Linked DNA regions of Lonchura striata. The protein of the gene in region 1 purifies or fractionates together with the protein of each later gene. This does not show direct contact. Links are inferred from orthologs where the notes say so. Each region holds a gene or a part of one and is shown in the gene's direction. Other genes may lie near its edges. The genes, in order: EXOSC5, ZFC3H1, DIS3L and HBS1L.

The links.
Region 2: the proteins of EXOSC5 (region 1) and ZFC3H1 purify together in Homo sapiens (affinity purification with mass spectrometry; 3 studies listed by BioGRID and IntAct, with this or other methods). This does not show direct contact. The link is inferred for Lonchura striata from reciprocal best matches to the Homo sapiens genes EXOSC5 and ZFC3H1.
Region 3: the proteins of EXOSC5 (region 1) and DIS3L purify together in Homo sapiens (affinity purification with mass spectrometry; 5 studies listed by BioGRID and IntAct, with this or other methods). This does not show direct contact. The link is inferred for Lonchura striata from reciprocal best matches to the Homo sapiens genes EXOSC5 and DIS3L.
Region 4: the proteins of EXOSC5 (region 1) and HBS1L purify together in Homo sapiens (affinity purification with mass spectrometry; 3 studies listed by BioGRID and IntAct, with this or other methods). This does not show direct contact. The link is inferred for Lonchura striata from reciprocal best matches to the Homo sapiens genes EXOSC5 and HBS1L.

Annotation. Positions count from the first base shown.
Region 1 is NC_134642.1:86,203,210-86,210,364, forward strand, and holds the start of EXOSC5 (exosome complex component RRP46), read left to right. Parts: upstream 1-4,140; 5' UTR 4,141-4,182; coding exon 4,183-4,297; intron 4,298-5,377; coding exon 5,378-5,491; intron 5,492-6,548; coding exon 6,549-6,670; intron 6,671-6,748; coding exon 6,749-6,889; intron 6,890-6,953; coding exon 6,954-7,043; intron 7,044-7,123; coding exon 7,124-7,155. Other genes in the region: cell cycle checkpoint protein RAD17, read left to right, coding at 185-242, 1,526-1,709. UniProt on the Homo sapiens protein: Non-catalytic component of the RNA exosome complex which has 3'->5' exoribonuclease activity and participates in a multitude of cellular RNA processing and degradation events.
Region 2 is NC_134607.1:45,484,125-45,491,292, reverse strand, and holds the start of ZFC3H1 (zinc finger C3H1 domain-containing protein), read left to right. Parts: upstream 1-4,149; 5' UTR 4,150-4,216; coding exon 4,217-4,799; intron 4,800-7,168. UniProt on the Homo sapiens protein: Subunit of the trimeric poly(A) tail exosome targeting (PAXT) complex, a complex that directs a subset of long and polyadenylated poly(A) RNAs for exosomal degradation. The RNA exosome is fundamental for the degradation of RNA in eukaryotic nuclei.
Region 3 is NC_134613.1:22,671,901-22,679,488, forward strand, and holds the start of DIS3L (DIS3-like exonuclease 1), read left to right. Parts: upstream 1-4,580; 5' UTR 4,581-4,616; coding exon 4,617-4,761; intron 4,762-7,525; coding exon 7,526-7,588. UniProt on the Homo sapiens protein: Catalytic component of the RNA exosome complex which has 3'->5' exoribonuclease activity and participates in a multitude of cellular RNA processing and degradation events.
Region 4 is NC_134605.1:58,287,889-58,295,306, forward strand, and holds the start of HBS1L (HBS1-like protein), read left to right. Parts: upstream 1-4,398; 5' UTR 4,399-4,546; coding exon 4,547-4,589; intron 4,590-7,192; coding exon 7,193-7,258; intron 7,259-7,418. UniProt on the Homo sapiens protein: GTPase component of the Pelota-HBS1L complex, a complex that recognizes stalled ribosomes and triggers the No-Go Decay (NGD) pathway.

The DNA of each region.
Region 1 (7,155 bases):
GGTAAACTAACAGTTTGGGGGGAAAAGTTACACACACGGTGTTTTGGTATCTAAAACATTTCAAATATTTACAGGAATACTCAGCTAAGGTAATTGTTTATTTTCTAGTATTGTTTATTTTCTAGTTCAGCTGTCTGTTCATTATGATCTACCTAATACGATACTGGTGGCTCTTTGTTCTCAGCTCAGATTGCTTTTATCCAAGACGTGGGGAGGCTGCCACTGAAAAGACATTTTGGGAGGTAAGTTGAACTTCTGCCTGTAGTTAAAAAGTGAGACTGTGTCATCTGTGAAGGGGGAGAACCCTGTGATGGCATGAGTCTGTGATGTAACAAAGACAAGGTATTTTTAAAGGTCTGTTTAATCTGGACTTAGCTGCACTGGTGTAATCTTGTGGAAGTTTTGCCCGTAAGGCTACTCAGAGTAAACCTTGTGCAGAATGCACCGTTTCTCATCAGGCTAGAGCTGCTGACTGCTGAAAACCCAGGTGTTTCCCTGTGGGCTGCAGTGGCTCCTCACGGGCTGCGTGTGCAGCCTCAGGGTGACCTGGCACGAGCAGCTCTGCTGTGGCTCCTTGGAGCCCTCTGGGTCAGAGACTTCGCTGACCCCAGCAGAGCCCCAGTTACACTGCTAGGGCTGTGATCCTCTGGAATTTAAAGTGTTTTAATTGCTGTGTTTCTAGCAAAGAATCAAGTTCACAGCTGCAGTGAGACAAATTGTCATCTCCTAGCTAGGGCATAGTTTACTGAGGCATCTGGCAGAGCACCTCCTACTTGGCCCTGGTGTTGCTGCTGACTTTGTGAATTTCCAAGGTGTATTTCCAAGAACCACCCTGTTTCCCAGCTGTTGTATTAAAAGCCATTTTGGTTGTTAGGGAGATAGACAAGTGTCCCTAAGGGGTGCATTTCTTTGTAATCCCCCTGGTCTGTGCCACAAGGTGTGAAATTCCTCACATTAATCATAACTTCCTTGTGCCTTTTAAGTTTCCCTGCAGCATACCTGTGGTTAGTCACATTTTGTATCTGCATCAATAAGTTGGCTGGGTGTCACAGTGTCTGATGCTGCTGAAAGCACTGCCATCGTTCTCCATCTGTTCAGTGTGCAGGAACCGTAGTGTCACCCTGATTTTTAAGATTTTCTAAAGCCTTCTGAGTTTACATTCTGTTAGAAAACTTTTCCACATATTTTCTATAAACAATATATCGTTTTGCATTTCTTCGTGGTGGTGGAAGAAGTTAATATACTAGTAGTTTGTCCAATGTCTTTAAAGAAGTAGCCTATTCACTCTCCAACCCACTGTCACCTTTAGAACAATATAAAAGTTAAAGTCAAAAAAATACACCTTCTTCTTTACCTTGCAAATAGCAAGTAGCTCGCACCATACTTTCACATATCCCATAACGACACCGTAGTGCAGAGAAATGTGGGTGTTTGCTGCCCGGGGGTGCTGCTGGGGCACCGGGTGTGTTCCTGCAGTGCTCCGGGAGGCTGTGCCGTGCTCAGCGTGCCGCCCTGCTGCCTGCAGGCTGCAGCTGGAGGCTCTGGACGACCGCGACCCCGGGCTGCCCGAGCTCCACGCCGACCCCGAGGGGCTCCCCTGCAGCCAGTCCAGCGGGAGCGACCTGCCCGGCAGCCAGCCGCAGCCCGTGGCGGCGCAGGCGCTCCTGGAGGAGGAGGAATTGCGGATCGAGGAGTACGACAGCGACTGAGCGAGCCCTGTGCCCGGGGAGCTCTGCAGCCGGGCACCGAGAGCCCCGCGCCCCACAGCGCCAGCCCCGCTCCGCCTTCCCGCCTCTCCCGAGCCGCGGCAGCGAGAGAAATAGAGGCTGAAATCCGTCTGAAGGACGCTAGGGACGGTCAGCGGTGTCGCTCTGAAATTATCTGTGTTTTTACGCGTTTTAATATACGTTGCGATTGTGCAGCGCGTTTCCCGAGTACACATTCCGTGAGCTGCCAGCATTTGGAGGGTTCGTTCAAATTCACATTTCCAAAAAAATGCCCTTCTGGAAAGAAGAGGCTGAAATTTATACCTGAAACGTCACCGTACTGGTGATGTAAAGAAAACCTCTACTGTATTCATACTGTTTTGTACTCTGTCTTACAGAAGACATAAATAAGATCTTTGTGTCTTTGTAAGGGGAACAAATGTTGTACCATGGATTATTTTGTATTCCTCTTGGAAAAAAATTTTCATAACTTTTAGAGGAGGAAAAAACAGCAATTAAGCAGAAGTTGTACTTTGTAGGAAGATAAATGTGCAGTTTTTCTCCTTGACTTGCAGTTGTGCTGGGGGAAACAATGATCCTGTGTTTGGCAACTGACACATGATCGGGTGCTGTGGTTAGTGATACCAGCAGAGAGGAAAAACAGCTTTGTGTGATGCTCGTTGGCATTTCTGTATTGCTTACAGCCAGTTTGGTGAGAGAAAACACGTGTTTATCTGCCCTCACCTTGGATTAATGCAATTAAAGAGTCTGTACCCATCCTCTCTCAAGGGACAAGTGTTGTCTTTTCATCTGCAGCTACTGCTTAATTTTGAAGGGAGAAATTTCACTCCTAAGTCTAAAATTCTGTTACAGCTATACTCATTACAGCAAATCAGACTGTCTTTGTCTGTTCATGACCAGTAACCCTTTTTTTCCTCATCAGGGTTAGGATGGGCTGTTCCTGGAGTGCCTCCAGCACAAGTAACAACCAGGACTAAAATACTGATTTTTATCTTGAAGCACACCCCCACCCTCTTTTATTGTATTTTTTCAGCTTTCTTTACAGTAGCACCAGGTACCTGCAGCTGCTGTGCTGGCCTTTTCCTTGTTAGGGCAGAATGTTGTTTTGATTTTTTAAAAGTGTTAAGTTTTTTATAGTTCTTTTGAAAGTTTTTAAAGTTTTCATAAAACTTCTTTAGCCTTCTGATAATGTTTACATATTTCTGTTGGAGTTTTTTCACACATGTTCATGTAAATAACGATTGCTTTGCATTCTTCTTTGTGGGAGGAGAGAATTGATGGACTGTTGGTTTGACCAGTGTGGTTGGAGAGGTGGCAGTTTCATCCTCCAATCCACTGTCACTTTTGGAATTACATTATTTATGTTACATTGCAAGGTCAGAAATAAAACTGTCTGTTTTTCTCTCTTGAACTCACCAAACTTCTGTGTACACCTTTTGTGTCCAATAACAACATCTGGAAACTTTCAAAAGAACTGTAAAAGAAAAGTTAACACTTTTAAAAATCAGAGTAGCAACAGAATTCAGCGCTCAGCTGGAGCTGTGAGCTGCAGCATGCAGGGGAAGGTCAGGTTGGACATCAGGAAAAAATTCTCCACTGAAAGAGGGGCTGGGCACTGGGATGGGCTGCCCAGGGAGGTGTGGAGTTACCGTCCCTTCAGGAGTTTAATAAAAGCCTGGGTGTGATGAGGCGGTGTCAGGGCATAGCTGGGACTTGATGATCTCAGAGGTCTTTTCCAGCCTGGCTCATGCTGTGATTTAGGAGCTTCCTGGGTGCGATCAGAGGGCTGAAGCTGCTGTGGGTTCCTCTGGGGAGCCCCATGGCTCCCGCTGCAGCCACCCAGCCTGTGTCCATGTGGGGCTGTGGCCGGGCTGGGCTCGGGGTGCCCCTCCCCGGGGACCCCGGCCAGGGGCAGGGACCAGACACGGACAGGGATGCGGGTGCTGACAGCAGCACGGACACAGCAGTTAAACACAAGAGGCAGGACTTTCCTTCTTCCCCTGGTGTCGTTGTGAAAAACGCCAATTACTTGGTTTTTAAAAGTTTTAAACGTTTAATAATAATAAAAATAGTAATGCAATTAGAGTAATACAATTCAGAGTTAGGGAAATTGCAAGACAATAAAACGCAAAGAATTACGGACGTCTGGATGCTCTCAGACACTCAGTCATGAAAAGCATCCCTTGTGAACAAAGGAATAACCTTAAAAACAACAGTCTGTTGCATATTCATCTATCTCATACGCGATGCATGATAGAGTCCCCCTGTCCCATCTGCCCCAACGCCTGGCGCTGATTGGCTATCGCGCTGCCCGGCGCTCATTGGCTATCGCGCTGCCCGGCGCTCATTGGCTATCGCGATGCCCAGCGCTCATTGGATGTCGCGACGCCCGTCTGTGATTGGCCGCCGCTTGGCCCGGAAGCGGAAGCGGCGGCGGAGCGGGGATCCGGCGGCGATGGCGGCGGAGGTGGTGGAGGCGGAGGCGGTGGACGGGCCGTGCCGGCTGCGGCGCTTCTCCTGCGAGCTGGGGCTGCTCTCGCGGCCCGACGGCTCGGCCGCCTTCCTGCAGGGTCTGTGGGGCTGCGCTGCCCGGGGCTGCCCGTCCCGTCCCATCCATCCCACCCCCATCCCATCCCATCCCCATCCCATCCCATCCCATCCCATCCCATCCCATCCCATCCCATCCCATCCCATCCCATCCCATCCCATCCCATCCCATCCCATTCCCATCCCATTCCCATCCCATCCCCATCCCACCCCCATCCCACCCCATCAATCCCATCCCACGCCATCCTGCTGACCCCAGCCGCAATCCCATCCCATGCCATCCCATCCCATCCCGCTCATCCCAGCCCCATTCCCATCCCATCCCACCCCATCCCACCCCATCCCACCCCATCCCATCCCCACCCCATCCCATCCCACCCCATCCCATCCCCACCCCATCCCATCCCTACCCCATCCCATCCACACCCCATCCCACCCCACCCCACCCCACCCCATCCCATCCCATCCCATCCCATCCCATCCCATCCCATCCCATCCCATCCCATCCCATCCCATCCCATCCCATCCCATCCCATCCCCACCCCACCCCATCCCATCCCATCCCATCCCATCCCATCCCATCCCATCCCATCCCATCCCATCCCATCCCATCCCATCCCATCCCATCCCATCCCATCCCATCCCATCCCATTCCCATCCCATCCCAATCAATCCCATCCCACACCATCCTGATGACCCCAGCCCCATTCCCATCCCATTCCCATCCCACCCCATCCCATTCCCATCCCACCCCATCCCATCCCCATCCCATCCCCATCCCACCCCATCCATCCCATCCCCACCCCATTCCCATCCCCATCCCCATCCATCCATCCCCTCCCATCCTGCAGACTCTGCGGGGCTCACTCGCCGGCTCTGCCCTTCGTTCGTTCCTGTGGTTCATTTTCCCAGCCTTCCCCCCGAGTCTCTCCTTCCTAGTCATTCCCGGCTCAGCTTCCCGGGACTCCTCGCTCCTCCCCAGCCCTTCCCGCAGGCTCTGTGGTGCTGTGGTCGCAGGGCTCCCCTTCTCCCCTGGCCGGCTCCCCTCCTGCCCTTCCCGGTGCCCTCCCGTCCTCACCGAGCGCGCTGCCCTGTGTGCCCAGGGGACACCTCGGTGCTGGCCGGGCTGTACGGCCCCGCGGAGGCCAAGATCAGCAAGGAGCTGCCAGACCGGGCGGCGCTGGACGTGCTGCTGCGCCCCAAGGTGGGGCTGCCAGGTGGGACTGCCTCCCGCCTGCCCCGGAGCAGGCTCTTCCCCCAGAGTCGCCGTGTTGGGTTTATTTACAGCACTGTAAATCAGTTTTGCTGGGTGGCAAATCCACAAACCCCTGTGTTATTGCCACATTTTAGCAAGCAAAGGCACTGCTGCTCGTTTGCTCCCCAGCTGTGTGGTTAATTAATGCTCTCCCTGCTGCTGGGTGACGAGTCCCGGCTGCTGTCACTAATTAGTGCCGCGCTGGCTCTGGCTCTGCTCTGCCTCTGGGCCTGACCCCACTGCCAGCCCTGTTCCCGCTCTGAAAAACACCAATCACTCGGTTTTTAAAAATTTTAAAAGTTTAATAATAATAAAATGGTTATAAAAATAGTAATACAATTACAGTAATAAAATTCAGAGTTAGGACAATTGGAAGACAATAAAAAGCAAAGAATTACGGATGTCTGGATGCTCTCGGACACTAAGTTATGAAAAGTATACTTTGTGGACAAAGGAGTAACCTTAAAAACAACAGCCTGTTGCATATTCATATATCCTTCTTGGTTATGCATACATTCTATTTAAAACAAGAACTCTTTCTGTTGTATGTCAGCTGTTTCCTTTAATCCCCATGGCATCTTCCAGTCTGAGCAAGACCTGAAGAAATTAGCTTCTTTTGATAAGCAAACAGTTAAAAAACCCCTTTACCTAGCAGTTTCTATTTTAATACTATGCTGGAACCTGAAACTATATTTAACACAGTACCTAAGAGCATTAATACAGCATAACTTTCTACCATGACACATACAATATCCACTGTAACGTTTGTAAAACCAATCATAAAAGGTGCATTTTTCACACGGCCGGAGCCCGCTCAGCACGGCCAGCACCGTCCGCAGGAGTTCCTCCTTCCCCAGGCTCGTCCCTGCAGCCCTGCCGTGTCCTGCAGGAGCTCCCCGTGCAGGGCTCTGCACTCCCCGGGCACCCACCAGCCCGCTGGGCTCTGGGCCTGGGTTTTCTTTCTGAGGCTCCCGGGGCAGGGGCTGTGGCTGAGCTGACACCCTCTGCCCTCGGCGCAGGTGTGCTGGAGCGCAGCCGGGAGCAGCTGCTGCAGCAGACGTGCGAGGCCGTGGTGCTGGGCGTGCTGCACCCGCGCACCGCCATCTCCCTGGTGCTGCAGGTGCTCAGCGACGCCGGCTCGGTATCCTTTGCTGTGTGGGAGGCGCCGGGGGGCCGGGGGAGCGGGGCTCTTGGTGCTGTGGCTCCTTGACACGCACAGCTGCTCTCCTGCTGCCTGAATGCCGCCTGCATGGCGCTGCTGGATGCGGGCCTGCCCCTCTCTGCTCTCTTCTGCGGCGTCACCTGCGCTCTGCAGCCCGACGGCGCCATCCTGCTGGACCCCACAGCCCGGCAGGAGCAGGTGAGCCCGGGGGGAGCCCTGCTCCAGGGTGCCCACCCAGCCCCGCTGACCCCTGTCCCCGCAGGAGGCACGCGCCATCCTCACCTTCGCCATCGCCAGCACCGACAGGAAGGTGCTGATGGTCACCACCAAGGGCAGCTGCTCCGTGCAGGAGGTGAGGGACTCCCCGCGCGGGTTTTGGGGTGCAGGATCCCTCACAGGGGGCCCCTCACTCCCGGCCCTTCGCCCCTGCAGATGCAGCAGTGCCTGGCCGTGGCCCAGCGCGC
Region 2 (7,168 bases), on another chromosome or scaffold:
GTTGCTAACTTCTAGGACTCCTTGCTCAAAGACTTGTGTAGGGTCTCAAGTACTAATGCAGGATCCTCAGTTGATAACCTCTGAGGATACAGGAAATGGTGCTGAGGTTCCTGAGAGGAAATTTCCATTCTTTTTAGCAACATCTAACAGGAGGGAGTTAACTGCTACTTGAATGTGTTTCATCTGAAGTTATCTGTAGTGATTGCTTTATGATCCTAAAAATAAAGTCTCTTGCAAAAGAAAAAAGCTTCTTGCATGCAAGACTTCTGTCTTTTGGGAAGACAGAACTCTTAGAATCAGCTCTTCCATCAGACTATTAATACCAGAGGTGAAAACCTGAAATCACATTTTGACATCTTCCAGATTTTAAAAAAGGTATTGAATAATTGAAGTAATAAAAGCGAGATTTTTCTCATCACCAAGTGCAATCTGAGAAAATAACAATGTGACTCATTTGTATTTTACCATTAATTTACCATAACTACCAAAATAAAAATTACAGACTACTTTTTTACTTAAATAGCTTTTATAAATAATCTTCTCTAAAATATCTCACTTTAGTCTCTTATCTCATATATATATATATATATATATATATATATATCATACTATTACCTCTTCCAAGGGAAGATTCCTTTAGGTATTTAATATAATTTGCTCAGTTAGATCTCTTGGTGAAATATTAATTAATTTTAAGCATCTAATGAGGTATTTAATTCTGTCATTATGCAGCTCTGCCTGCTATTTGAATGTGATTCTTTGTTCTTTTTTCAATCATATGTCCTCCTCTACTCTTTACTTCTTTCATATGTATTTTGAAGGCATTGTGTTCAAGACACTGTGTTCAGGCTATGTTCAGTAAAAACTTACTTATACTTAGTGCTTATTTTGAAGTTGGATAGAAGCTGCTTTCTTCTTAGGAAGATTTCACAAAGCTTTCTGTAAAAAAAAAAAAAATCCAGAAGAAACAAGTTAAGAAACAGAACAAATTTATGTGAAATTGTGCAAGTGTCAAATTGTGGATTAACTGGACATTGTGTCAGCTAACACAGGCAGAACACAGGAAAACCCACAAAACTGCAGAAGAAATGCAAATAATATATTTATCTTTGTTACCTTACCAACTAGGGAATCAACTCTGAACCTATGATAGTAATTGACACTTGCAAAGCAAGAAGAGGAAAAAATAATTTTAGCCTAAGCCAAATTTTATAGTACCAAAATATACTGCATGTCTTTTATATTCTGAAATCTGGCCAAGTTCTTGTAACTCAGACTATGCTTCTGTAAAAAAAATTCACTTTACTTTTTGTAATTGAATTTAATTTACATTATAAACATGTTACTAATTTCCTGCCTCAAACTTTGAAAGAAGTCAAATTCTGTGCTCCTGTATTAAAATACAGGAGGCTGATGAGAGCATTTACGGGAGTGTGCCAGCCAGAAAGACCCACTGTCCTTACTGGCTGATCAATAAAGGCCATTTCTTGTTTGGTATCACCATAAGGAAAAACACGAGTGTAGTATTTTACTACAGTATGGTCTTCTGTATTTTAAATTATTCTATTTGTCCTTTACTGAAAATATATTCAGTATTTAATACAATTTTTTTTTCCAGCAGCAATATAATCTATTTCACAGGCATGAAGTCAAATGCAGCTAAAATAAAATTTCTTTTTTTTTTCTCTTAAGTTCACACATTGCAATGAAACCTCACAAAAAATTCTTTATCTATTACTTGTGTTTTAAGCAAGGAAGTTTCTTCATGTTTTCTATTTGAATGGCAGCTCCCTTGCAGTTTTCAAATGTTTATGGCCTTTGTTCAAATGTGTAGGTAGCAAAACCAGCAGAAAAACACATTCTTTTTACACATGCCCTTTTATTCCCTTTACAGAAAAGAATTTAACACTATTAATTTCCCTATTTATTAACAGTGGTGAATCTGCTTCTTTATGAAAATTTAAAATTACTCATGTAATAACCCTAGATGACAGCAAAAAGCTAGGAATATCAGATGACTGAAATGAAAGAAGGGACATATGATGCCATAGGATATACAAAACCACTGGAAGATTCTCAGGGTATTCTTTTACAGATGGTTAAGTTTTCTGAAGATTCTCAGGGTATTCTTTTACAGATGGTTAAGTCTTCTCTTAGATAGAAATTTATAATACAGATCATATAACATTTTTTTAATAAATTCAGCACACTTGTTGGATGAACAGTAAGCAAACATACAATAAAAATCAATAGAGTGGGAATACCCCTGTCAGGGTAATTTCCCATGAAAGAGTTGACATTTTGCAAATACTTTACAGTTCTATAAACGTTTTTCTTTCCCGCCTAAAAGATACAATTTCCTACTGGTGCATGAAAACACTTAAAAAAGAGGTAACTGTACAAAGGCTACTGGAATCTGATATATGCAAAGCTTTGGGATGCCTAAGTAAGGACATATGCTGGGAGGGAAATTTCTGCAGCTTACATGTGGTGATACTGAAACTTCTTTGTAGCTACAGTGGATTAGATTTCAGACTTGGGCATAGGCACCTAGCAATGTTTAAAAAACCTGCTTGACCTCCAGCTGCTACTTGACAAAGTTTTCAGTATGTTCTATGTCATATTTTCATGTTTTTAGTACTGTGGGATATGTAAAATAATGTAAGCCTGATTCCTAGAGATAGCAACAATTTGAATAGAAGTACTGACACAAATAGCACACTAATGTAGAATGATGTATATTTGTGGTGGGGAGGGGGAGTGAAAAAGCAAACCTTTAACTTGCTCCCCTGTAAACGTCTTTAAAGAATGCACACTGTTTTAAACAGATTAAAAAAAGGACTGTACCCTGTTTTGTATGAAGTCACTGCAGTGGTATCTATTTTAATATCTATTTTTATATTTTCTATATAGTTGTCCCATTGGATCAAAAAAAGAGGTTGAAAAGTGTTTTGAGCAAAGAAAAGTAAGCTTGTTTGGCACAACATTTTTGACTTTAAAAAGCATATGCATTATCCACTCATTATTCTTGTTGGATTTAAAGAAGTCTAGAGAGGAAAGTAAACAGTAACATGATACTGAGTTTTATTTTGGTGCTTGTGATTTCATAGCACATTACTCACTAAAAAATACCCTACAAAACATCTTAATAATTCACTCTCGGGAAAAGCATGAAGATGTAGCCATCTTTTCCCAGGCTTGAAAACCCCGGCAAATCTGCAAAGGTATTTATCATGTATAATTCAAAGGAATCTCTCAGGTTTCTCAAAGTCAGGGTTTGTGAGTTCTACAGGAGACACTAATCTGACTTAGAAAGGCTTTATTTTTTTTTTTTTTTCCCCCACAAGGAAGGCATTACTGCTCTCCAGTCAGCAGTTTTGGTAGGATGTTGCATTCCTTAACAACCAACTAGGTAGCAACAGAATGCTACTTAAGAGATATGAAAATAAAATAGATGATTGAAAGTGTTTATGCAGTTGTTTTACACTCTCTGATGCTCACTTGTCACTTGTATCACTGAAGGCATTAGGGCATTGAACGTCTAGGCAATCACAGCTCTGGAAAGCTCTGCAGAAACCTTCTTAAAAATTTTAACATTAATTTAGCTACTAGGAAGGTTCTGGGGGTATGCCTGAACACCCACTGCTTTCCCTTCTTTAGCAGCCTGTGCACTGTTTGGGGAGAGAAGCAGGGCACAGGCCGCACCAACAGAGAAATGGCATCCAGCACTCCCAATGAGCACCCAGGAGGCCCAAGCCCCCGCAGCCTGGACGGCGCTAAAGGGAGCTACCACTGATCATCCCGCGGCGGATGGCAGGGCAGGACAGGGCAGGGCAGGGCAGGGCAGGGCAGCGCAGCGCAGCCCGCCGCCATGCCACCGGTTCGTCCCCACACAGCGCCGTGCCCCGCGACAAGATGGCGCCTCCTCCCTCGCCTCGCTACCAACATGGCGGGCCGCGCGCCCATTGGCGCCCGCCGCCGCGCGCGATAGGCTGAGGTGCCGGCTTCCCCCGGCCGTGCCTCGCGCGGCCTCGTCCCGAGCGGGGAACTACATTACCCAGGATACCCTGCAATAGGGGCGTTGCCCCGAGCCGTTTCTTTTCTTACGCACGCGACTCTGTCTCCTCCCAGCGGGAGGGGCGGGGCGTGGTCTCGCGAGAGTCCGCGCGGCCGGCGGCGGGGGCGCAGGGCGCGTTGAGACCGTTGTCGTGCGCCCATGGCGGCCGCGGAGGCGGCGGCCGCGCCCGACCCCAGCGGGCTGTCCCCGAAGGAGGAAGGGGAGCTGGAGGATGGAGAGATCAGCGACGACGACAACAACGCCTTCGGGCCCTATGGCGGCGGCTCCGAGCCCACCGGGGGCCTCGGTAACGGCAGCAGCAGCAGTAGCAGGCCGTACTCGAGGCGCCGTCCGCCCCCCGGGCTCCACGGGAGCGGCTCCATGTCCTCCCCCGGGCGGCCCTTCCCGCGCTCGAGGCACCAGCCCCCGCCCGACTCGGGACACGTGCACGGCCACGGCGGGTACCGGCCTAAGGACTCGTTCCGCTCCCACCCGCCGGCGCCGCGGATGCCGCCGGGCTCGCACTCCGACACGGGCCCCAGGCTCTCCTTCTGGGAGCGCAGCCACAACGCCCTGGATCGGTTCCGCTTCCGAGGCCGGCCCTACCGGGGCGGTGGGCGCTGGGGCCGGAGCCGAGGCTGCAGCGATCGGCCAGGCAACCCTCCGGGGAGGCCGCCCGGAGGGGGAGGCGGCGCCGGGTTCAGTAGCAGCCAAGGCTGGAGGGAGCCCTCGCCTCGAAAATGTATCCTTGAGACGTGAGCGGGGCGGGGGGCCCGTGCTGCTGCGGTGGGCCTGGGCGTGGCCGTGCCGCGCGACGTGGCCGAAAGCCGTGGGAAGGAACGCGTTTCCCTCCCGCTCCGGCAGTGAGATTCCCGCAGCGGTAACGGAGAGGGAGGCTCCCAAGCTAATCCTGGAGGTTGGCCGGGACAGCCGGCCCTGCTTAAGGAGAGGCTGCTGGGAAGTTGGATTACTGCCGTGGCGTGGCTTGCGGCTCGGCCGATCTGTCCGGTGTAGGGAAAAAGGAAAAGCATAGCCTGAAAGGAAGGTTTTGTCGGTTGGATTCCGGGCGGCTGCTTTTCTAGCCCCAAGTGCGAATATTAAGAAGTGGGGTCAGCCTTCGGTGCGGCAGTTTTAATATGTGTAATTAGTGTCACAACTGTAAAGCTAAAACCCTAAGCCTGTTAATTTACTGTAATGGGCAATGAAGGGTCTGCTGTTTTTTTTCATTTTCACTTTGATTTCTTCAGAGGCTATTGCACATAGGTTTAGCTTTAGTCAGTTGCTGAGTGGGTCTGCATACACAATTTGTAGTTTATATGGGCATTCAGATGAAAGCCATACCCACCATTTCTTGTAGGATGTTCTCCACTGATTGCTCTTAACAGTTTAGGTGACTCACTCAGTATGAGGATTCTGCTATTTCATCCTTTTAGGAGCAGGAATTGTGAAAGTGGTGGGAAAAGCTTCCCTAACTTTTCTTGTTTGCTATAGGAAGTAACATAAAGAGCTAATAATGCTGAGTGTAGCTTGAGGCAGCCTGGTGACTTGATGTAACTGCATTGTTATCTAACTGAAAATGTAGATGAATGTAAAAAACACTCAGCAAAAGAGATGGTGATTAAATCGTGTTCTATTGTCCTTCATATCAATAGTCAAAGGATGTGTTTTTGCTAGAACCAACAGTGTGGGTTGATTTCTTGGGTCTCTTGGATCTTGTTTTATAGACAAGATTATTTTTTATGTCATTAATTTTTTTTTTTTTTTAATGTAGATGGAGAATGTAAATTAGCAATAGAGACGCTCTTATTTAGTCTCAAGTTACAGCATCATTGAAGGCTTCATTGCCGCCCTTCATTGAAGGGCGCATTTTGTCTTGGGAGGCAGCAAGTGGAGATGTGATTTGCCCAAGTTTTCACAGTAAGACAATTCTACTGCTGAAAATAATTTTAAAGTCTTTTTGCAGTGTTGCTCTAAGTACCTGAAAGTGGTTACTTTCTGTGTGAGGAATAATTTGCAGGGCAAATGTGGAGATTGTCCTAAACAGAAATTAAAATGTTTCTTTATGAGACTGATGCAGTCTCCTCCTCTCTTTTAATTAAAAGAGCATTCAGAAACAAATAATACCATTTTCAAACCAAAAGTAGAAAATGTTTAAGGTGTTTTTATTCCTGGCACTTAAGATTTATGCATCCGTTGAAACATGGCAGATGGAGGATGTTCCTACTCTTGCTCTTTAATAAGTGAACATTCTCTTGTTTATTGATCGTATAGGTAAGGAAGGTCCATGATTTTCTCTCAATATGAGTTACTTCCTGATTTTTTAAACATCCTCGCCACCTAATACAGTCTATATTAGAGAATTAATAAATACTAAGGTACCTCCATGTTGCTAACATTAATGGAGTACTGGTGTAATTCATTGGTATGTGACTTCAGAGCAGACTTTCATATCAATTAGTACAAGGAGGCTTGTGGCCTGGAATGGTATCTTGAGTTCCCCCTGGAAAATAAAATGTTTTAAGTGTCTTGAGTCCTGATTTTGGCTTCTTCTTAGTAGCTAGTACAGTGCTGTTTTTCGGATGTAATGTGAAAATGTTAACACACTGGTATTTTAGTTGTTGCTGAGAAGTGCCTCCACTAAGTCATAGACTTCCAGCATCCCATGCTTTGCCAGTGAGGAGGTGCACAAGAAGCTGGTAGTGTGCAAAACTGAGACCCAAACCTGGCCCAAGTGGTGTTGCATACCACAGAATATCATGCCTGGTGTATAAACTGTGAGGAGTTGGCGGAGAGCCACTGATGGCTGCTTGGAGCTGGGCTGGGTAGTGAGCAATTGTATTGTGTATCACTCTTCTTCTTTGGGCATTATTCCACTTTCACTTTTTGTTATCTCCCTTTTAATTATTATTACTATTTTACTTGATTTCCATTATTAAACTGTTATTTTTTCAGCCCATGTTCCCTCAGCCCCCATTACCTTTTTCCAAGTTCTTTCTTCATCCCACCATGGAAGGGAGGGAGGAATGAAAGTGTGGGATAATAAGTTGCTGACTGGGATAAACTATGATAATCTGGTAAGACAGAGATTGTTTACTTGATTTATTCTTAGAG
Region 3 (7,588 bases), on another chromosome or scaffold:
GTGATATTGTGCAGCACTGACCCCAGACTTGAGCGAGATGTACCAGAGGGAGCACTCCCAATTTGGAAGTGGGTGGAAAATCTGACCTGTTGGGTCTTTCCATCTCTGACCACCATTATCCTCTGAACCCTGCAGGAGCTGCTCTGCAGGCTGAGACAACCCTGAGCATCATCTCAGTGCAAGGGCTCCCACCAAATCAAATGCATTTTGATAAAAAATGATTGATATGGTGGCCTTCTCCTTTGATCCAAAGTGTTTTCATAATTTCTAGCACAACAAATATAAGCATATTTTATGAAAGCAGAAAATCTGGACTACACCGAGTTATTAATCAGCTGCAAACAACCTAAAGCTCCCTGATCAGACAAAGTGTAGCATTCTAAATATCTCAGCATAAAGGCTTTTTTCTCTTTAAATAATATTGAGGCTCTCTCATCAGTAAATCCAGTGGGAAACCCTGGGATAAACTAAGCCAAGGTACAGAAAATAAGTGAAACACTATAGTACACAGCGTTGCATTCCTGTGCTGTAAACTTTTGAACTGCATCCATGGAAGAAAAGGATGGGGGAAAGAAGATCAAATGCATGCCATAGTAAATATCAGGTATTGTGATAAATTGCTTTTATGCTTCCAATAATTGTAAACATCGTGTAGTTTCATATTCCTGACATGCTTGAAGAGATCTGCAAGCCTTTTTTTTTATTATTATTTTATTATAGAGAAGCATCGCTTTCTAGTTTATTTTGTGGAGAAAATTGTCTTTTTATGCTATAAACAACTCCAAGCAGTTTGTCCACGGAAGCTGAAAGGTGGAATTTTAGCCCATTAGACACGGGCAGGGAAGCGAAAGTTCCTATTTCAACCCAAACTCGATTACAGAGCGTCCCCCAGCGGGGGTGTCCGGTACTGCAAACGCAAAACACTAAGCGGGTTTGGACGGACGGAAATCCACGGAGAATATTGGGAAGCCCAAAAATGCACGAATAAAAAATCGTTTTCGCTAAAATTAGAAGAACATTAGCATTCTAATTGTAACGCTGTATAAATTATTTTAAAGGATAAATGAGATAATCATCAGTCAAAGTGCAATCCTAAGCAAAATAACAGAGTCTAATTAACATGAGATCTGACAAAAATAATTAAAGGAGGGGGACATAATTAATGCCAGTGGACATGGGATTACATAAAACAGACATTGTTAAGATCATCTAATGTCTTTCTTTTTTATGAGTTCAAGGAATGGCACATTAATCTCGAGACCTTTCTAGATGTGGGTGCAATTTTTACAATACTTGGCTTTTACTGAGCCAGCGATCCAGAAGGAATCTCCAAGAGAAGGAAGCATTTATCCAGTTTAGGTTGAGTTAGAAGGAGATGATGAATTGCTAATTGTTCCCCAATTGCTTTAAGAATGGGAGAACCAACTTCAAAAATATGCTATAAGATAATCAAATCTTGCATCCTCTACTTCAGTCACAGAGTACTTGGATGAAAAAAAAATATAAAAAGCCCTTTTTCAAATGGAAAGATACAATTTCTATTGATTCCATGACTATGTGGATTCCAGATTTATCTTCTGCCTCTTGTTTGTGGCATTTGTCAGGTGAGTCAGGCTTCGGAAGCTTGAGCCAATTGCTGGTATTCTCCAGTGACCTCAAATTTCTTGGCCCAAACACTTCTGTGAAAAGGTAACACTCTGAAATCTGTCCTGCATCTTCTGACAGGCTTCTCCAGGCAGGGAGAGCTCCCAAGAGGTTCCCACTTCCCATCCCAAGCAAGCACAACTGTAAAGACTTCCATTGCCCATGTGAAAATAAAAGCTTCTCTAGCACTCACTGTTGTTATACGCAGGGGCATTGCACAAAGTGAGGAATATATTCTACCATGATTTATTCCTTTACAAAGTACTTCATGAAGTTAAGCTGTATGAAGCAATAGATGTCCCATAGTTCTGCAAGCAGAGTGCACATCATCTTTATTCTTCAAGATTTGTTAAGATGTTCTAATATGGATACACCAACATTTTTGCAGCTTTTATTTTAAAACAATTAAATATATACATGTTATCTTGCTAGTTTTGGCTGTCCCTGCACAAATGTCTTGCCTTGTGTAAAGACAATAACAGATCAGCATGAAATAGCAGAGTGTGAAAGTTCACCTCTGATCTCACAGGGACAAATTCAGCTGTCAGATAAAGTGCCAAGAGCTCTCTTTGGCTCTAGTGACTCCAGCTTTGTCTTTTGCAGTCATTTGAGGTTTCTTCCAAGAGAGGAAAGAAGTGGGGAAACACTAGAATGAAAAAACTGCTCAGACTAGGATGTTATAAATACAAGTGCAGCTACTCAACAGTATCCCTAGGGTGTGAACTTGGCCCAAAGGTCTTCCATTTTCCTCTGTGAAACAGTGCACAAATGAGAGCAGTCATCTCAGCTACTTCTATTTAATTAACCTTCATTTTATTACAGTCATTGAATGTCACTGAGTAAGCACACTGGTCTGTGTTCCTCACTGTGTCAGCAATCAGCATCTGCTACATTTCAAACTCAACTAAATGTCTTTTTTTCCCAAATGTTGTGTTTTTATTACCCTTTCTATCAGCATGGGTTACTTCATCTTTGCTCCTGCTGAACAAGATCTCCATCATTTTGCTCTCCATTTCCCTTTTCCTCTCACATCCTGCTTACATAATACATTTGAAGTCATCTTGACTCCCAAACCCAAGTCTACACTTTGGTCGTCTCTCACTAAGTTATAACACCTCCTCCTCCTCAGATGTTTGAGAACTTGGCTTCTGCAAATCAGCTACTTACAGATGGTGCTTCCATTTACTGGCACAAATTGGTTACTTAGAAGTATTAGTCATTGGAGATACACATTTTATAAAACATGTGAAAAATAAGAAGTAGAATAAACAGGAACATACAGTGACATACTGCCTTGGCTCTTTCCCAGTGTTTTTTCCCCTCCTAAGAACAAACACTACACAGCTCTCACCATGTATTTATGTTCAAGTGAAGTTATAGTGTAGGCACTTATTATTTGAGAAAGTATGAATGCTTTTCTAACAGTCAACACAATCATCCCCAAAATGGATGGCAGCATCACAGACACCAGAGACACTGCTTTGGACTCCTGACCTTCCACTGCTTTTCTGGTTCATCTTGGACCAGACTTCACCTGTCAGTGCCTTTATCTTCCCCTCTAAATGTGAAGGACAATATTGGTGATTACTGTAAAATAAGTTGTCATTAGGGCTTGCCTGCTCTCGTCATGCACCTTTTCCCTGATCCTCATTTCCTGGAGTGCTCTGACATGTGGTCACACAAAATCAGGGGTGAGGAACAGACCTGGGATTTCTCCTGGAAGATGACGAGAAAGAACATGGAGGTTCATACAACTGCATCCCTCACTTGAAGGGAATCCGCCCTCTGTGCCCGCTCAGCCACACAAGCCTGGGCTCCCTCAGGGCTTGCACTGATCGGGCTCCCCCTCAGCCCGCTCCTGCCCGCTCCTCAGGGCCGCCCTGGTTCCCTCAGCTCCGGTTCCAGTCCCCTCAGCTCGCTCCTCCAGGTCCCTCGGCCGCCTCGGCTCCCTCAGCTCGCTCCCTCTGTCCCTCAGCTCCAGTTCTAGCTCCCTCAGTTCGCTCCCACCCCGTCCTCAGACCGCCCCGGTCCCCTCAGCTCGTTCCCGCCCGGTTCCTCAGACTGTCCCGGTCCCCTCAGCTCGATCCTGCCCGGTTCCTCAGACTGTCCCGGTCCCCTCACTTCAATCCTGCCTGGTTTCCTCAGACCGCCCCTTGTCCCCTCAGCTCGATCCTGCCCGGTTCCTCAGACCGCCCCTTGTCCCCTCAGCTCGATCCTGCCCGGTTCCTCAGACCGCCCCTTGTCCCCTCAGCTCGTTCCCGCCCGGTTCCTCAGACTGTCCCGGTCCCCTCAGCTCGATCCTGCCCGGTCCCCTCAGCTCGATCCCGCCCGGTTCCTCAGACCGTCCCGGTTCTCTCAGCTCGTTCCTGCCCGGTTCCTCAGACCGCCCCGGTCCCCTCAGCTCGATCCCGCCCGGTTCCTCAGACTGTCCCGGTCTCCTCAGCTCGATCCCGCCCGACTCCTCAGACCGCCCTTTGTCCCCTCAGCTCGTTCCCGCCCGGTTCCTCAGACTGTCCCGGTCCCCTCACTTCAATCCTGCCTGGTTCCCTCAGACCGCCCCTTGTCCCCTCAGCTCGATCCTGCCCGGTTTCCTCAGACCGCCCCGGCTCCCTCAGCCCGATCCCGCCCGGTTCCTCAGACTGTCCCGGTCCCCTCAGCTCGATCCCGCCCGGTTCCTCAGACTGTCCCGGTTCCCTCAGCTCGATCCCGCCCGGTTCCTCAGCCCGCCCCGGTCCCCTCAGCCCGATCCCGCCCGGTTCCCCCAGCTCGATCCCGCCCGGTTCCTCAGCCCGCCCCGGTCCCCTCAGCCCGCCCCACCCGCGTTCTTCCCGCCCCTCGGTTGGAGCCGATCCCCGCGCTGTGACCCCGCGCCCCGCCCCGCGCAGGCGCCCCGGCAGTCGCGGCCTCGGGGCCGCCGGTCCCCGCCGTTCGCGGCCGGTCGCCGCCGTTCGCGGCCGGTCCCCGCCGCCCCGATGCTCCGCACGGAGAAGGTGCTGCAGCTGCGGGGGCAGCACGGCCGCGCCGTGCGGGTGGTGCGGGAGCACTACCTGCGGCCCGACGTGCCGTGCCGCAGCGCCCTGTGCCGCAGCGCCCAGTGCCGCGCCGCCCGCGCCCGCGGTGAGGCTCCGCCGTGAGGGGACTGGGGGGAGCCGGGACAGAGCCGGGACAGAGCCGGGACAGAGCCGGGATCGCCCGTGGGGCGGCGGGCGGCGTCCCCCGGGGCCGCGGGTGACGGGGGACAGAGCTGCGGGCAAAGTGATCCCTGGGCTGGGATGATCCCTGAGCTGGGGGGGGATCCTTGAGCTGGGGGAACCCCTGAGGACAGAGAATGATCCCTGAGCTGGGAGCATCCCTGAGGATAGAGAATGATCCCTGAGCTGAGGGAACCCCTGAGGACAGAGAATGATCCCTGAGCTGGGAGCATCCCTGAGGACAGAGAATGATCCCTGAGCTGGGAGCATCCCTGAGCTGGGAGCATCCCTGAGGATAGAGAATGATCCCTGAGCTGAGGGAACCCCTGAGGACAGCATGATCCCTGAGCTGGGAGCATCCCTGAGGATAGAGAATGATCCCTGAGCTGGGAGCATCCCTGAGGACAGAGAATGATCCCTGAGCTGGGGGAACCCCTGGGGACAGGGAATGATCCCTGAGCTGGATCCCTGAGGACAGAGAATGATCCTTGGGCAAGGGTTATCCCTGGTGGGGAAGGGGTGATCCCCGTTCTGGGGTGTCCGGATGGTGCTGAACAAATCACGGCTGTAGCAATAGTTTTCCTTTACAGCAAGACCCTTGAGAAACCAACGAGGCGTTAAGAGCGGAAGGAATCGTGGAGTTGATTGTTAGAGAGTTTAACTGTGAACAGTTTACTGGCAGTGATAAAAGGCTAAAGGATTGTTCAATTTTTACACTTCTCTTGTTTTAAAAGATCCTTTAAAATGAATTAATTTCTGCAGGGTGGTGGTTTATAGCATGAGTTAAATTCTATACATACCTGTTAAGTATTACAATGGGGCCAAGCCATTATCTTGAAGCCATTGTAATTCTTCATCAGTAGCTATTTCTGTTCAGTAATTAAATGTAATTGCCTGTGTTATATCAGGGCATTTCAGACACGGGAAGGTTGCCAGGCTCTGATGTCTGCATTTGTTGTTGTTCTTACGTACTGTGGTGCTGTTATGTGCATCGTAGATCATCACCAGAGCTGTGGTTGATATTTCAGTTGGGTTTGTTGTTGTGGTTGTTCAATAGCACAATTTATTTGATGCAGGAAACTGACTGGTAAATAACAAACATAATATCCAACTTGTTGAAATCGACTTGTTGAAATGACTTGCCTGAAAGAAAAGGTTGAGAATTGTGACAGTTTTTTTTTCTTTGGAACTATGATTGGGATAGATGTTTTCACTTTTGATTTAGGTTGCAATCGAGGGCAGAAGGTGTATTACTTAGATCATTATAGTGTATTACTGCTATCTAGGAGATCAGGACTACTTACTGCTCCCTAAAATACATCATTTGGTTGTGAATTCCTCAAGGATAAATTAAAGGCACACATCAGAAAAAACTCTAACCTTTCCTGCTGTGCCTAACTCCCCCTCTTTTGTACTTAAATGTAAATTGTGCTATAGGTGACGGTCAGAATATATCCCTGTGTGATTATTCAAGGTAACCCAGATGTGAGTGAGATATTTGTTTTCCTTCCAGACTCTACACAGTGTGCTGAGCAAATCTATTTCATGCCCTGTGAGAGACTACCTGCGAAAATCACATCAGCAGGTGCTTGTAAGGGTGAGCTCTGCCTGCCTGGGAGTCATTCTGCTCTGAATGGATGGGTTAGGCAAGGATAGCTTTGGATGGGCACAGCTCATAAATCTCCCAGTGACATTTCACTTCTAATGCTCTTCTGGATTATTAATAAATATTAGCTTTCTTGTACGCCTGCTGCCATCATCCATTATAAGCTTTCAGTGTGAGATGAGGCCAGGTTACTGCATGCACAGTTGTGCTGGCTGGATTCACACTTCTTGTGGTCACAGCTCAAAGATTGCCCCCTGTCAGCTTCTAAGAAATACATTCAAATAACCTATATACTTTATTCTGTATAATTTGCCTGCACTGTGGGGAGTTTGGTGTTTATAATAAATAATAAATAGATATTACGAAAAAATACAGTGGAAATCCCCTCCCATCTGAAAGCTTTTGGGTAATCTTTGAAATACCAAAAGCAATTAAACTCTTGAATTGTGAGGTACTTTTTAAGATGTCATCTGTGATGTGTTGTGTCTGATATTTTCATGGCATATTCCTTAGGGATAGAGTCTCTGTAAAGAAAATTAACACTGATGGTTAATAGTTTAGGTTTAAAAACATCTTTTCTTTGCAGTAGCAGTGGTTTTCTCTACGTGCACTCTTACCTGTGCTCTTTTATGTAAAGAGCCTGCTGTAAATGGTGTGTTTGAACAGAGAGAGCTGTGGGAGCAGAGTAAAGGAACTGCTCATAATTCTACAGCCTTTAGAAATTCCATGAAAAGATTTTCTGTGCCAGATGTATAGTCCCTTTTTCATATGGAAACAGAGAAGAAAGAACTGTAACCTTTTCTCTTAAGCTATAGCCTTTTCATAATGCAAGTGGATATTTTTCACTTCTTTGGATAGAATTTGCACAAAAGTTTGGCATCAGTTGATGCAGAAGGGTTTTTGTCACAAATTTATGGACTGTACCACAGAAGTTAACCATAAAATCCATAATTTTGTTCATCAGAAAAAGAAATGTACCCATTTGAGGAGGCACAACTCTAATTTTCTTACATCAGGAAATATTTTCAAGAAACCATTACTGCAACTGAAAGTTTGAACCTTGAAACTCTGAATTATCTTCTAGATGGCAAATTGTTATCAGATGATGTCACACACTACGTTGTCCCCGACTGCAAGGTTGTTCAGG
Region 4 (7,418 bases), on another chromosome or scaffold:
CAGAGACTGAACTTCCTTTTCTGGGCCAATATTTGGGTCACTGCAGATGAGAAGTATTCTGAGTGCCAGCAGGGAGGCAGCAGGGTGACAGAGGAATTTGGGATTGAAATCCAAGTGTTACAGAAAGTGTAGATTTACCTAAAGCCACTGAAATATTTTATTCATTTTTGCAACAGAAAGTTTACATACTTGTAAGGAACAAAAATGTGGTCAACTTGGCAGTGTTAGGTTTATGGTTGGATTGAATAATCTTAAAGGTCTTTTCTAGTTTTAATAATTTATGTTAAACTATACAAAGAACTCACTTTTCTAGACTGAATTGCCATTACATTACTGTTTGCCATTAGCTGCCATCTAACTTAGCTGTTAATGGATCCTGTTGAAATTGTGTAAGGTCTTGACTTAACATCAATCACTCATATGTGAAACTTGTTGTTCTGCATTGATCCATTCCCAAAGAAATAATAAATATATTTAACAAGCTCATTCATACTATGGAAAATTTGAGACACTTGCTATTTACCATATGTACAAAATGATAATTTATTAATACTCTTTGTTTTCTAACTTTTAAATCAGCTTTTGACTACATGGCATCATTTTAGACAAAAATAGACATGTATTTACATGTCATTTGAACTAGTCAGATCATTTAGCAGCTGGAAATGTGTTTACTGACCTTGATAATATTATATTTTAGAACTTAACAGCCACACCTGGTAGTGTGGTAAAATATCTGGAATTATGCTGTTTTTTTCCTAGCCTTCCTTCACTTTGGGTTAAAACAACAACACAATATTGAAATAGGCTGAATGCTTTGTAACTAAGACTATTCAATCACTAAAAAGCTTGGCGGTATCACTTGAAGAAGAAATAACATTATATGAAAGACTTTCCACTTAGCTAAAACGAAATTATTAAGTATTTTATTAACTGATTCTTACACTTATAAAAAAATTCATAGTGCTGAGGCTGGGAGTGCCCAACAGATTGCTGAAAAAAAGAGGATTATCAGAAATGCTGTCACCTGGATCGAGATCGGTGATCTTAGTTCACTTCTTAAGGCACACACCTTAAAGTAATATATAATTTCAGTGGGCAGGAAGCAAATGGATGCCACAAGTGACCTGGTTAGTCATTCCTTAGAGCTGCTGGAGCCAGACTGACAAGATTCTCTGATGGTGCTTTAATTGCTGCTGAAGGAATAATGTTTAGCTATAGAAGACTGCTTTGCTATCAGATGAATACTTTTCATGAACTTCGCATTCATACACAAGTAGCACTAACTGAAGTATAGCTAGCTAGGGCTTGAGGACTAAAGCTTATTATTTCTTGAACATCTTCCCCTAAAACATTTACATATGTCTCAGAATTAAGAAAAGGCAAGGAATAATCACAGTGTATTTGTGACTCTTTGAAGATACTAGTATAATATGAAATAATTATGCTCCTGTAAGAAATTGTTCTCTTTGGGTTCTTTTTTCCTTATATCTTATATAACTTATTACACTTTAAATGAAGAAAAATAACAACATTTTAAGTTCACTGTTAATACCATGGAAAGACTACATATTATATAATCTCATCCATTTGTCTTACCGTTATATTTACCTTTATATTTTACAACTGTTATTTTCCTGTTTTGAACTAATTTTGAAATCTTGAAATCAATCCTACATTTGATTATCAAGCAAATAAAATGAGCATCCTATCTGAGGAGGTCACAGTCACTGAAAATCAAGAGAAGTAATGAAAAAAAATTCAAGCATGAAAACTTTATTATTTGATAAGCAGCTGGTGATTTATGTAAAAAGCATCAATAAGAAGGATAAAAGAAATATCTTTGCAACACAATGGTCAGACGTGAGAAACAAGAATTGTCACTACCTGAAAGAAAAAAAAAAAAACCTAAATGTACATAATTAATATTTACTGGAGTTTTTAACATTTGAAGAATGGGGTTGAAGTAATTTCAGAGGCTGGAAAGTGTCTTTTCCAAAGTAAAGCCATTGGAGGCAGACTGGTATATATAGTTGTAATGATGAAGTGGCTCAAGTTACTTCACTGAAGGCCCAGAAAGCAGATGCTGGAATCAGGTTTTGAATTTAGAAGTGTGCTACCCTGGCTGTAGTAATAATGGATGATAGCAAGTCTCCACTTTTGTATCTTTGACTCATGTCAAGAGATTGGGACAGGTAAGGATTAGCTCAACTACTGTCAAACCTGTGCTGCAGAGAACATTTGGGACACTAAAGGTCAACAGGACACAAGTATTGACCAGAAACCTTTGCTTCCAATTCTGTTTTAATCCTAGCACTGTATGAAAGTCATTATATAGAGCCTAAGCCTGTTTAGCTGCATGTGCTTCTCTGTAGAAATTAGTTAGAAATATGCAAATAATATAAGGAAACAATCTGCAACTTTGCATACTATTTGTATATGAACACAAACTTTAGGCTTATAGTTAATACTGGCAGTATTAACCTCTGGCAGTGGCCAGGAAGGATGTGGAGTGGTAGATAGTGACAGTTTTGGCATGTGGCCAAGGACAAGACAATAGTCAGGTGACAGGTACAGAAGCAGGGCATGTGTATTCGTAGGGATGTGTGGCTGTGTGCTGGGGTATCAGAGGACAACCTGGAGCGTGCAGCTGGCTGGAGGGGGACTTGATTTCTGGTATTCTCAAGACTGGATGAAAAGATGGTAAATAAATTATTGAAGGTCTTAAAGAAAAAGACACCTGACTTCAAAAATATTAATGGTGTCATCTGCCTAGCAGCTCCCGAGCCCACAGATGAACACAGGTATCTGCAGGGGAACAACTGCGCTGGCAGATATGTAGACAGATTTTGCCACAGCTGGAGCTCATGAACTGGGATCTCTATCCCAACTCTCTCACCAGACCTTAATGTCTTGTCTGCTTGTCCTCAGTTGTCTGCCCCAGCAAGAGGAGCAGCTGTAGGACATGCCTCGGCTATGCAAACACTTGGCAGTGCAATTGCTCCTGCAGGCTGAAACTTGGCATTAGAAAGTAATGGCACAGTAATGTGCCAATATAGTCAGATCAAGGCTCCACGTAGCCTAATGCTTTGACATTTTGCTTAATGCTGCCAACAGCAATGCTAATTATTACAGCTTGCATTTACCTACAGCAGCTCATTCAAGCCTGGCCACTCATCAGTCCCTGGATTGTAATGGCTACTTGTCATCAAAAAGCCAGGTCAGCTGGAGCTGTTTCAGATCCAGAAGTGAGAAAGGCCTTGTACTTAATTTCAAGCCCTGTTCCTGTGGTGGTACACACATCACAAACACTTACCTCAAGTGTGTTTAAATAAGCCTACCCTTAGTGAATTCAGGCCTATACAGAATACTCCCTTTTCATCAATGATGCAACTGCTTTTGAATAAACTTCAAACCACTTGCTTACATGTGCGCATGTAAAACTTGCCACTTTTGGCTTGAATCAAACTCATCATTAACAGAAAATGGGCATCTCACATCTAGACTGTCCCTGTAACTCACAATACCACACAGACAGCTACTACAGACAGGCTCCATGCTACCAGACCCTGCAGAATCGCAGCAACGTTTATTCAGGCTGGAAGACGCCTCCAAGGTCACGGACACCAAGCTCCGGCCGGTCCCCCCGCGACAGGCACCCCTCAGCCGCAGGTGCTTTCCCAGTCCCGCCGCCCGGCAGCCCCGCACTCCCGCAGTCCCACAGCCCCGCACACTCCCGCAGCCCCATAGCCCCGCACTCCCGCGGTCCCACAGCCCCGCACTCCCGCTGTCCCACAGCCCCGCACACTCCCGCAGCCCCATAGCCCCGCACTCCCGCGGTCCCACAGCCCCGCACTCCCGCTGTCCCACAGCCCCGCACACTCCCGCAGCCCCATAGCCCCGCACTCCCGCGGTCCCACAGCCCCGCACACTCCCGCAGCCCCATAGCCCCGCACTCCCGCGGTCCCACAGCCCCGCTGTCCCACAGCCCCGCACACTCCCGCAGCCCCATAGCTCCGCACTCCCGCGGTCCCACAGTCCCGCAGTCCCACAGCCCGGCAGTCCCACACTCCCACACTCCCGCAGCCCCGCAGTCCCACAGCCCCGCACACTCCCGCAGTCCCACAGTCCCGCACTCCCACACTCCCGCAGTCCCACAGCCCCGCACTCCCACACTCCCGCAGTCCCACAGCCCCGCACACTCCCGCAGTCCCGCAGCCGGGCAGTCCCGCACTCCGGCTGTCCCGCCGCCGGGGCCGCGCTCCCCTCCCCGCTCCGCCCCCCCCGCCCGCCGCGCGGGCGGGGCGCGAGCGCCTCCGGGCGCCGCCCCCGGCCCCGCGCGACCCGCCGGCCCGAGCCAGGCGGGACGGGCCGTGCGCATGCCCAGCAGCACACGAGGGCGGAAGCGGCGCCCTGCGCGCCTGCGCAGGAGGGGGCGCCTCCAGGCGCCGCCGTACTTCAACATGGCGACCTAGGCCGGCCGCGCCAGCGTCACCGCGGGCGGGCGAGCGAGGCCGTCGCCGCCGCTGCTGCCGCTGTCGCCGTCATGTCCCGGCACAGGAACGTCCGAGGATATAACTACGACGAAGGTAGCGGTTATGGCGAGCAGGCGGTGGTGGCGGAGCTGCGGACCCGTCGGTCCCTCGGCGCTCCGCCCGGCCCCTGCTACCGGCCGGGCCACCCGTGCCGTGGCCGCGGGCAGGAGGGTGTGGCGGGCCTCGCACGGCGGTAGGGGAGGGTCCGGGGGGCTGTCAGGGGCGGTGGGAGGGGAAAAGCCGCGCCCTCACCTCCCCTCGGCGGGGGTTGGTCGGGGCTCCGGGCGAGGCCTCGCCCCGCCCCGTTCCCGGCCCGTTTCCCGCCCGAGTGGGGAGGGTCGGGCACACGTGGCTGCTCTCCTGCTGCTGCCGGGGGCTCCCGGGAGCTTCCACACGGGGCGAGCGTGGCCTTGGTACGTGGTCCAAGCCACGGCTGCCTTGCCTTGAGCTGCCCAAATTTACTCTGCTTTTCAGTAGCGGCACTGACTTGAAAAAAGCCTCAGTATGGTTGAATCCATCCATCTTTAGTCTTGAAAAACTTAAAAATTTGTATTCAGGGCCAAAGTCTAGCCAAGTGTTGCTGATGTTAATAGAAATGGGTTAACAGCTGTTACTTGAGGAAGAAATGTAATTCTTAAAGATGGAGTTGTGCATTTAGGGAACAACCTCTTTTTCAGGCACCTGTCTCATTTTACTTGTGCTTCTTGCATGGAATGAAGAGTTCTTCCATAAGAATATGGCTTGTATCTGCAGTACGGCAGCTTTCTTTGTGCCTTGGCCCCATTAACTTACCCAAACTGTAAATCAGAGTATTTTTTTTTCCCTGAAAGTCTTTATTTTTGTTGGTTTGGGCTGTGGAGAAATGGACACACTTTGGCTCATACTGATATTTTAAAGAGCCCTTTGCTGAGGGAGCAGTAATTTTGTTGCTTCACTTTGTCATATTATTACAAAAATGCAAGGAAAGCTTCAGCTTGCCTCTGGTCTTCTGTTGAGTAAACAGACTACATGGTTTTTATGTATTATAGTAGTACAAATTGGGTTTTTCACTCTGGTATTGGAATTTCTTGGAAGTTGTAAATTCATGTGAGCTGTGCTGACTGTGTTCCCACCTTGCAGTTTCTGCTAGTGTAAATTTTCCTAATATAGGCAAAGCCCTGAATTAGATTGGGAATTCTACTGCTTGATTTTTCATCCTCTAGAGACCATTTTTCATCACAGATTGGTTGAAACGTTGATTTCAGCCGAGTCTCTGGCTTTTGAAAAGTTGAGTGTGCAATCCATAGAGTCTTGATGCACTCATCAGACTCTCTTGTAATGAGTTTGCTCATTACTGTGTAATGAGATACACAGTAATCTTAATAGCTACGCAGTAGCTAATAAGGCACATTTTGCTATTGGAAATGTGACTGTGAGGTTATGTGTCAGGTCTTTACCCTTGTACCGTATGTTTCTTCTGTAGTCACACAGAATCATTTATGACCCAAATGAATGAGACTTTGTGTCTTCTTACCTGTTAAATGCAATATGCTTTTTTTATACTGCATCTGATTCTGTAATGCCCAAATACAAATCCCATTTCTAAGCTGAATATTTACAGTTTTTTTTTTAGTTTCCTTTCATAGGAAGACTTCTGAGGCCTTAGATCTTCTGGGCTTTATTTGACTATGTTCTATGTTTTTCCCCTCTCCTTTCTGAGATACTGTGATCATAACCAAATGTGATATTCCATCTGCAAGTATCTTGGCAGTGCAGCTGGAATACTTCAGTAGCTTCTACTCTGTTCTCTGTAATTTATGTAATTTTTAAATACTAATTTTTATGGTCAGTGCATACTGGGGTCTGTCTTTTACAATAACAAATAGAGGTTACTTGTGAAACTGCCAAGTGTAGTAGTGTCTTTAATAATAGTTTGTTACTTTTTTCATGTATTTCATTATTACTTAGTGAAAATTACACAATTTTTTAAAGATTGGCATAATACTAGGATTCCTTTTTTGAGAGGAAGGCGCATAACTTATTATTTTTATTTCTGCGTGCCTTTTTTTTTTTTTTTGTGAGGAAAGAATATTTTTAGCTTTAAGTAACTGTATAAGATACCTGCTTTTTACCTGAAACAATTTTGCATATTCAGAGGGAATTGTGAATTTTTTTTTTGCTTGCTGAACTTAATTTGAAAGGTGGATAGATGTGAGCATAAAATAGAGAAGAAAGGTGAGAAATGTATAGGAATGGAGTAGAAATGCTGATCCTTAGCTGTTGGACTAGAAATTGTAATTGACCTGCCTGTCTGGGGTGAAGGCTGAGAGGTCAAGCAAAAATATCAAGAGAAGTGCCATGGGTAAAGATTTGTGGAATGTAGAAAGATTTAGTCGGTGAGGGCAAAGGAGATGCTGAAGGAGGAGGTGTGAAGTGTGGCAGCTCTTGAAAATTTTCAGCCTAATGAATAGAGTATTAAATGTTAAATTATATTATTTTAAGAAAATTCTGTTATTGGAGCTTGGAAGGTTATTTCTCACATAGGAAATACACAGAACCTAACTGTACTTCTGGAATACAGGAAATGTATTATTTCATAAAACCTTGTGCAGAACGTATTTGAATTATAATATTATTTAGAAATTGTGTAGATTAATCTTGCTATTTTTGCTTCATAGACTTTGAAGATGATGATGTGTATGGCCAATCAGTAGAAGATGATTATTGCATTTCTCCTTCAACAGGTTAGTTCAAATAATTATCAAGTATTATTCATTGATGCCTGTTTTGATATTTATTTCTAAATAAAATAAATTTTAAAAGCTAGTGACACTTTTGAAAAGTGCCTAGTGGCCATAATTCTGTTACAGTCAGTTATGTAGTGTTAGACATTGGACTTTTGAA